Linked DNA regions of Oryzias latipes. The protein of the gene in region 1 binds, or shares a complex with, the protein of each later gene. Links are inferred from orthologs where the notes say so. Each region holds a gene or a part of one and is shown in the gene's direction. Other genes may lie near its edges. The genes, in order: cytoplasmic FMR1-interacting protein 2 and brk1.

Region 1 (3,820 bases):
ATTTCTAATGAACTACTGCCACTCCATAGGAACAATGTCCACAGGTTTTTAAAAAAATTGGCGAAAAACAACATAATAATTAAAAGACCACTGGGATACTAGATCAAAATAAAACACAAGTGGGACTTTAAGCATTTTTTGTTTCTTAATTTGTGAAAAATAAAAAGCATTTTGATGTTTGGTTGTCTTCCTGTGCAGTTGTACATGGTCCGCACCATGCTGGAGTCCCTGATAGCAGACAAAAGTGGATCGAAGAAGACTCTCCGCAGCAGTTTGGATGGACCCATAGTGCAGGCCATCGAAGATTTCCATAAGCAGTCCTTCTTCTTCACACATTTACTGAACTTTAGTGGTAAGCTAAATGTAATTCAAGTCATTTATTCAGGAGATGGAATATATTTTTTGATTGAAATCGAAAATTTTAGTTGGAATATCAAACTATAAGTGCATGCTGTTTGTTTTAATGATCCTATTTAAGCATGAAGGTTTTAACAGCTATCTGTACCTCTAATGATTTCCTTATATAGTCCACTTTGTCAGGTACAGCTCATCTAAACTCTAGTGCAGACAATAGGTGAACCTTGCTCTGTTTGAGAGGAAGGTTCTGGTTTTCATGTTTTTTATGGTTGACCAAAGCGCAGAAGTGAACCAAAAGGAGAAATGACATAAGAGTTATGTATTAAAAGTAGCAACAAAATCAGCAAAACTCAGAAGGAATCACATAAAGTTGAAAAGCATTGCAGTGTAAACTTGTAGTGAGGAAATACTAGCGCTAATTATCTGAGAGTGGTTGTGGCAATAGTTGTTTTTCTTCGTCTTCCCTGCTTTGGTCTGCTTATGCTGCCCCCAAGTGAGCAGCACTTGAAACTGCAGGTTTTCTTCAGGCAGTTAAATCTGCTTCAGCAGCTTCTGAGAGCTGTATGTGCTTTAGCAACCCAAACCAGACGAATGTACGACAGTTATTTGAATTTTCTGCTCATTTATACAAAGTCCACAGGACTATCCTTGTGCATGTAAGCAATACTTTTAATTGTGTTTGTCTTGTCCAGAGGCCCTGCAGCAGTGCTGCGACCTGTCCCAGCTCTGGTTCAGGGAGTTCTTCCTGGAGCTGACCATGGGCCGCAGAATCCAGTTCCCCATTGAAATGTCCATGCCATGGATCCTTACTGACCACATCCTGGAGACAAAGGAGCCTTCCATGATGGAGTAAGACTAATTAAGGGGAGATTTGTGTTTTGTACCCTAACAAGTGGGCAGTACTGCAACCATTACCCTTTCTCCTCCAGGTATGTGCTGTACCCCCTTGATTTGTACAACGACAGTGCCTACTATGCTCTTACAAAGTTTAAAAAGCAGTTCCTCTATGATGAAATTGAGGCTGAGGTAAGATCTGATGGACACCAATTCCATTTGGCTCATTTTAAGTTGAATTTGATATATATTTTGTGTGTTATTTGAACAGGTAAACCTGTGCTTTGACCAGTTTGTCTACAAGTTGGCAGATCAGATCTTTGCCTATTATAAAGCAATGGCTGGCAGGTAAAAGGAGATTTTTTTTTTGAACAGAATACAGAAATTTGAGGGCTTCGTTTGAAGAAATTGTGATTTTTTTCCACAGTGTTCTGCTAGACAAGCGTTTCAGGGCAGAGTGTAAAAACTACGGGGTCATCATCCCGTACCCTCCATCAAACCGCTACGAGACGCTGCTCAAACAGAGACACGTACAGGTATCTGCACATCGTCTTTTTGATTATTTTGCTGTCTCATTTGCAAACTATGTCATTGTCGTATTTGACTCGTCTGCAGCTGCTGGGTCGCTCGATTGACCTGAACCGCCTGATCACCCAGAGAATCTCGGCAGCGATGTACAAATCCTTGGATCATGCTATTAGCCGTTTTGAGAGTGAAGACCTCACCTCCATAGTGGTGAGGGGACCATCAGGTGAAGCTTATTCCTGTTCGTTCTCCATATTTTGTTTAAACTCCTTGTATTTTTGGACAGGAGTTGGAGTGGCTCCTGGAGATCAACAGGCTAACCCACAGACTTCTGTGCAAACACTTGACGCTGGACAGCTTTGATGCCATGTTTCGTGAGGCCAACCACAATGTCTCTGCTCCCTACGGACGAATCACGCTCCACGTTTTCTGGGAACTCAACTTCGATTTTCTCCCAAATTACTGCTACAACGGATCAACGAACCGGTCAGCTAAATAAATGTAAAGAAAAACCATTGTTTTGTTTCAACTTTGAACCATCTCTCCTGTTCCTCTCAGCTTTGTGCGAACAGCTATTCCTTTCACCCAGGAGCCTCAAAGAGACAAGCCAGCCAATGTGCAGCCTTATTACTTGTATGGATCCAAGGTATATTGCCATTCTATGTTTGGTGTTCATATTTTTATCTATTTTTTGTTGCTTTTTACACTGTGTAACAAAAGAAAAACTGAAATAATGACTATGCTGCCTCCGATTATGATTCCGATGCTTCCTCTTTTTCTTCTCAGCCTCTGAACATCGCCTACTCCCACATATACAGCTCCTATAGAAACTTCGTCGGCCCGCCTCACTTCAAGACCATCTGCCGCCTGCTTGGTTACCAAGGCATCGCTGTCGTGATGGAGGAGCTGCTGAAAATTGTCAAGAGCCTGGTATTTATCTTCCAATTGCAGCCTCCAAAAAACATGTTGTCATGATCTTTCTGAATTGTAACCGCTATCATTATCTGCCTTTTTCTTTCCCTTTCGATGCTTTTGTCTATCTATTTTACCCTATAGTTGCAGGGCACCATACTGCAATATGTGAAAACTCTGATAGAAGTCATGCCCAAGATCTGCCGTCTACCGCGCCATGAGTATGGTTCCCCCGGTGAGCTCACCTCTGTCTTTTGTCCAACCACATTTACTGACAGGTTTTGAAATTTTAAACTTAAATGTGCACTTTTTATTTTTATTTTTTTTTAGCAAAAATGACTCAAATAAGGAAGTTCAGTGTAAATTCAATTAAAAGCATAGATTGTGACTGGTTGAGGTTTTTTACATACTACATTAAATTAAAAAACCATCAAGCTGAGATTCATAATGACTATTATTGTTATAATCCAGTATAAGATTATTCCAAGAAACCAGATCATTTAATTAAATTCTAATGGTCTATGTAATTGACCAGCAGATTACACTGAAAGCTTTTCATTGGAATCTTCATACTGAGTAAGCTAACAGCAACAGGGCATAAACTTCCATTTTTAAATGGAAGATTAGGAAGAATTCTTCAGCAGAACCAGACTTGATATGAGTAACAGGTTGGGCTCTAAAAGGGGGCTAAATGCTGTGACTGTCCGACACAAATGTGACGGCCCGCAAAAATCAACAATTAACTAAAAGCACCCCACAAACCAAAATAAAACAATATATATAACGTAAGGATGGACGGACAGACAGATGAAGATTAGACAGGCAGACGAGGCCGAATATAGGCATTGAAAAGAGGGGGGCAATGCCACCTAAATGCGTCGGTGCCCCCCTGAATGTGATGGCCCACGACGTCCACCACCAACTATAGAAATAAAAATTACAAAAAAAAAACAAAAAAAAAGACATCATGGAGTTACAGACAGATGGACAAATAGACGGACACGAAAAGAAAAAAAAATACATAAATGCACCCTTAACAGCTTGCTGGTGCCTATCCTAAGACCGATAAATAAGGAGGGTAGTGTCAGGAAGAGCATTCAACCTAAAACCTAGGACATTTCAGATAGATCAAAGGAGAAGATGAAGGCTATAGATGAGCTGAAATGATGAAAGCATGGTTTTCTATGCATAT
Region 2 (4,196 bases), on another chromosome or scaffold:
GTCCTGCTGCCCCTGGCCTGGGTGGCGGATGTGATTACCTTTGGGGCGGTTGTTCTCTCTCTGCTATATCGTGTGGGTGTTGGGGGATCCTGGCTACCACTGCTGGGGCGGCCGGGGTCTTGGTGTGGGGATGACTGGGTACTCTCCCTCCTTTTTACATTCCATCATCCACCTTAGGAGAACAGAAAAACTCACAAGCGCTATCTCACCTTTGCACAAATAGTTTGTGTGACTGAATGAAATGTTTCACATGTGTTAGACTGAATGTATAAGTATGCGTGTGTGAACGTTATATGTACATGTTGACATATTTCCATGTAAACATTTTGGGAGCCAACAGGTATGTTTGTAACATTTGAGTGTGTGCGTGGACAGGCCCCGCCCCTTTTAGATTTATTATGCATCTGAATCTGACAGTAATGATTATAAACTTCCAGCAATTTGTTGCTTTATGATTTTAACCCCCCCCCCCACAGTCACCCTCCTACCCCCACCCCACCTCCCTTAAACCCCTTTTTCTTCTTCCCTTCTTTTCCATACGCTCCAACTATATATTTAATATAAATATAATTAATAGATAAAGTTTTGTCTAAATTACAAAAGGGGTTTATTCAAATATACACCTTGTGTGTCAGAAGATTCATAACTTCACGTTGTAACATTAAAATATGTCCAACACAAGAGGCCTTCGGCTCTCATCTGTTTGCTCAGCTGTTGGACAGGACAAGTTAGAAAATAAATAAATTACGGACAACTTTTTGTTCACTTTGAGACTGTTAAACAGAAAAAGAGGGCTGCTGATGGGCTAGGCAAAAAAATCAATTTTTCGATAAATTCGAATTTGTTGCAATTTATCTTGGGGGAGACTGGGATTGTGTTTTTCCAGCACTGATTTCTTGGGCTTCTGTTGTTTGGAATAAGGTCAGCCCGTCCGTTTCTTACGGAGCCCCTTAAGGGCCATTGAAAAAAAAAAATAAAAGGAAAAAAAAAATTGAAGTAAAAAGAAAGAAAAACTAACGGGTGCGCACCAGTTACTAGGTAATTTGTGCACGGAGAAATGTTTCCAAGTTACCTGGAAATGGCATTATGTGAGCTAATTGAGTTTTACTTTGCTTTTTGACTTGTCTACAAAGAGATTCCAGCTTTGCTAGCTTACCGTCACAATTACATCATCTCTGAACGTCATCTTAAATGGGTTTTAAAGTCATGTGGTTTGTTTCAAAAAGCTTTTAAAAAACTAAAGCCATTTGTTATTTGTATTAATGGCTGTTAGTAACTGGTGAAAAAAAATTTAAGTAAAAAAAACAAAAAAACAAACTGCACCCAATACTAACGGGTGCAGTTAGTTTTTTTTTTTTTTTTTTTGCTTCATAATCTTTCTTTTGTTCAATGGCCCTTTAGGGGCTCCGTAGTTTCTTGCCATACGCAGTCATTAAAATGGCAGCTAGCAAAGAGGAGCTTGTTCCCAAAATAGGAAGACTTTTTTATTTTTCCCCAGTTCTATGGTGCTGGTTGAGTTTTGTGACTTTAGACTTGGAGCAAGAAAACTGTTGGAAGGCTGTTGCTAGCAAAAGTGGGAGTATGAAACAAAGCTGTGAAACAGCCGGTCCAGTGCCTGGTCACTGCTCAGCTGAAATGCAGGCTGGTTCTGATCCAGTTCAAACATTGTTTTTTCTTTCAGTCTGTGCTTTAAAAACAATCAAACATAATGTTATGGGTCCAACTGCTCATGATTAACAACACTTTGAAGAAAGAAATACACAGAAATACATTTTTAAGCTTAACTTTCTTGATATCTTTCCTCGATTATGAGAAAATGTTAAAGGAACATGTTAAAAACACCATTTTCATTGGAGTGGGACGGAATTGTTGCCATGGATTAGCAGCCTTACACGAAGAACAAATCAGAAATTGTATCTCCATGCAAAATCAAATCATTATACAGGATTTATTGACATTTTTGAATTTTTCATGGATGAAAGTAGTGATGAATTTGCTTAAAAACTATCTGGCTGCTGTAACGCATTTTTCGTTTAACATTTGTAATAAATAATATAAATAGAAAATGAGACTTCGGTAGAATTTAAACTCTTGTCTCTGGAAACAGTGAGATCATTGCGACCGGCGCCCTCTGCTTCCTGGATGATAGCTAGCTTCGGTGCTCGGTACTGCGGGCGGAGAATCATCCAACATGGCTGGCCAGGAAGACCCAGTTCAGAGGGAGATTCACCAAGACTGGGCGAATCGAGAGTATATAGAAGTCATAACGAGCAGCATCAAAAAAATCGCCGACTTTCTGAACTCTTTCGGTAAGGTTTCGACCACCATCTTCGGCGTGAAAGCGTAGAAAGATGGCGATAGCTTGTTAAGCTAGCCCATGTTGATGTTTTTAATGGACACTCCTAGTTAGCAGTTAGCTTGCAGGCTAGCGGTTTACGAATTGAAATTTGGGAAGAGCAAAATAAAAGTTTAAATTATATCTCCGTCCAGGGTAGCTGTATTACATAACAGAATGAAGACTAAATTCCATGGGACTGTTACACTGTAAACCCGAAAAAGCTTCAAATGCTACTTTATTGTTGTCGTCACTCGACTGTTCGTTAGCAGCACCTTTAAAGGTTTTACCACATTTGAACCCAAACAGACATGTCCTGTCGATCCCGCCTGGCCACCCTCAACGAGAAGCTGACAGCGTTGGAGAGAAGGATCGAGTACATAGAGGCCAGAGTAAGCAGAACAGCCCTTCCGTGTTTCCCATTCTCAATGCTAAGCAGCTGCTACATATTTCTGTTTGTGAATGCAGGTGACAAAAGGAGAGACCCTGACCTAGAGAGGACCATGGATGGGACTTCATGTTCTCCCTGAATCTGTGTACCCATCCATCCACCACCCAGAGCTTTTGGACTGAGCGTTCTGGACTCCACCTTCCCTTTTTTAGGGGGGATCATCATAAGGACCATTTTTATATCTTGTGATTGACCTTTGTTGTGTTGTCTTCATGGCAGAATTTTGAACATAAAATGAGTCCATCTTTGGGGTGTGGCTGACTTCATTGTTATTTTTTAGAACAAAGTGGGAATCATCAAGTTTTGGTTTCAAAATGATATTCAGAAATGGACCTGCTCTAAACTTTAAGCATGCAGTGTCATAAACAAATCAGAGATTTATATAGAAAAATAGGGGTCAATTCTCATGTGCCAAGTTGAACAAGTAATTAGTTAGAGACCATTGAGGATATTTGTACAGCAAATGTTTCTGAAAATAAAGGCATTGCATTGTTTGGCTCTATTATGTTTAACTGGACTACAAAAGTCCTACTGATGTAATTATTAGGAAATGTATAAAGTTTAGTTATAAGAAACAAAATAATATTGTGCATATGGTAAGTTAGAACACGTTCATTTTGTTCACATCAATCACAGCAAACTAAGGGATGTAGGGGTTGTGTATTTTGAATTTTACAGTTTGAAATTATAGGTTTTCCTAATGTCCTTTTTTGATTCAAACTTTATGAAATAAGATTTTTTTTCTTGTTTGTTTCATGTTGGAAACGTGTAACAAATCTGTAAACTACAACTCCCAATTAAATTAAAAAAATGGCGGAAATTTGTTTGTTTTGTTACCCTTAATTCTGACTTGCAGGCCACAGAAATGGGAAGCATATTTTCTTTAAAATACAGAGGAAAAGGGTGGATCTATACAGGTTGAGGGGCCGGAAATGGGAGGATATGGAGGATGTTGGAGTGATCGAGGACGGGGATGGAAATGGACAGTTAGTTCCATGAGTGTGATGGAGGTCTGAAGATCAGAAAACGTTTGGGAGCACAGAGCAGAAAAGGTGGCTGTTGTTGTGAAGCATGACGTCACAAAACTCTTTAAATTTGAAATGGACTGAAGAGCGGCAGTTGGGCCCGACCACATACCTGTGAGGGTATATGGAAGTGTTTAGGAGAGGTGGCCGTGTGGCAGCAAACTTTTTCCACTGAGCTGTTTAGTGAGGTCTTATGAGAGGACGCCTGGGGAATGGGCGAGTGCTCATTTTTTAAGAAGAAAGCGGTCATGTTAAGTTTTTGAGACTTTAGAAGAATAAACCAGATCAGTAATGAACATTTGTGGGGGAGCCAGTTTAGCTCGTGCTGGTTTGCGGCGCCTTCCGTCCGTGAAACCCGGGTTCGACTCCGGGCTGCTCCCTGTTC

Evidence for each region.
Region 2: cytoplasmic FMR1-interacting protein 2 (region 1) and brk1 share a complex: the UniProt entries of both Homo sapiens proteins name them as parts of the WAVE1 complex. The link is inferred for Oryzias latipes from reciprocal best matches to the Homo sapiens genes CYFIP2 and BRK1.

Annotation. Positions count from the first base shown.
Region 1 is NC_019868.2:21,208,036-21,211,855, forward strand, and holds part of cytoplasmic FMR1-interacting protein 2, read left to right. Parts: intron 1-198; coding exon 199-352; intron 353-1,049; coding exon 1,050-1,206; intron 1,207-1,286; coding exon 1,287-1,383; intron 1,384-1,462; coding exon 1,463-1,539; intron 1,540-1,618; coding exon 1,619-1,727; intron 1,728-1,806; coding exon 1,807-1,926; intron 1,927-2,002; coding exon 2,003-2,202; intron 2,203-2,274; coding exon 2,275-2,362; intron 2,363-2,502; coding exon 2,503-2,646; intron 2,647-2,772; coding exon 2,773-2,863; intron 2,864-3,820. UniProt on the Homo sapiens protein: Involved in T-cell adhesion and p53/TP53-dependent induction of apoptosis. Does not bind RNA. As component of the WAVE1 complex, required for BDNF-NTRK2 endocytic trafficking and signaling from early endosomes.
Region 2 is NC_019863.2:7,144,142-7,148,337, forward strand, and holds brk1 (protein BRICK1), read left to right. Parts: upstream 1-1,686; 5' UTR 1,687-2,191; coding exon 2,192-2,309; intron 2,310-2,644; coding exon 2,645-2,727; intron 2,728-2,803; coding exon 2,804-2,830; 3' UTR 2,831-3,606; downstream 3,607-4,196. UniProt on the Homo sapiens protein: Involved in regulation of actin and microtubule organization. Part of a WAVE complex that activates the Arp2/3 complex. As component of the WAVE1 complex, required for BDNF-NTRK2 endocytic trafficking and signaling from early endosomes.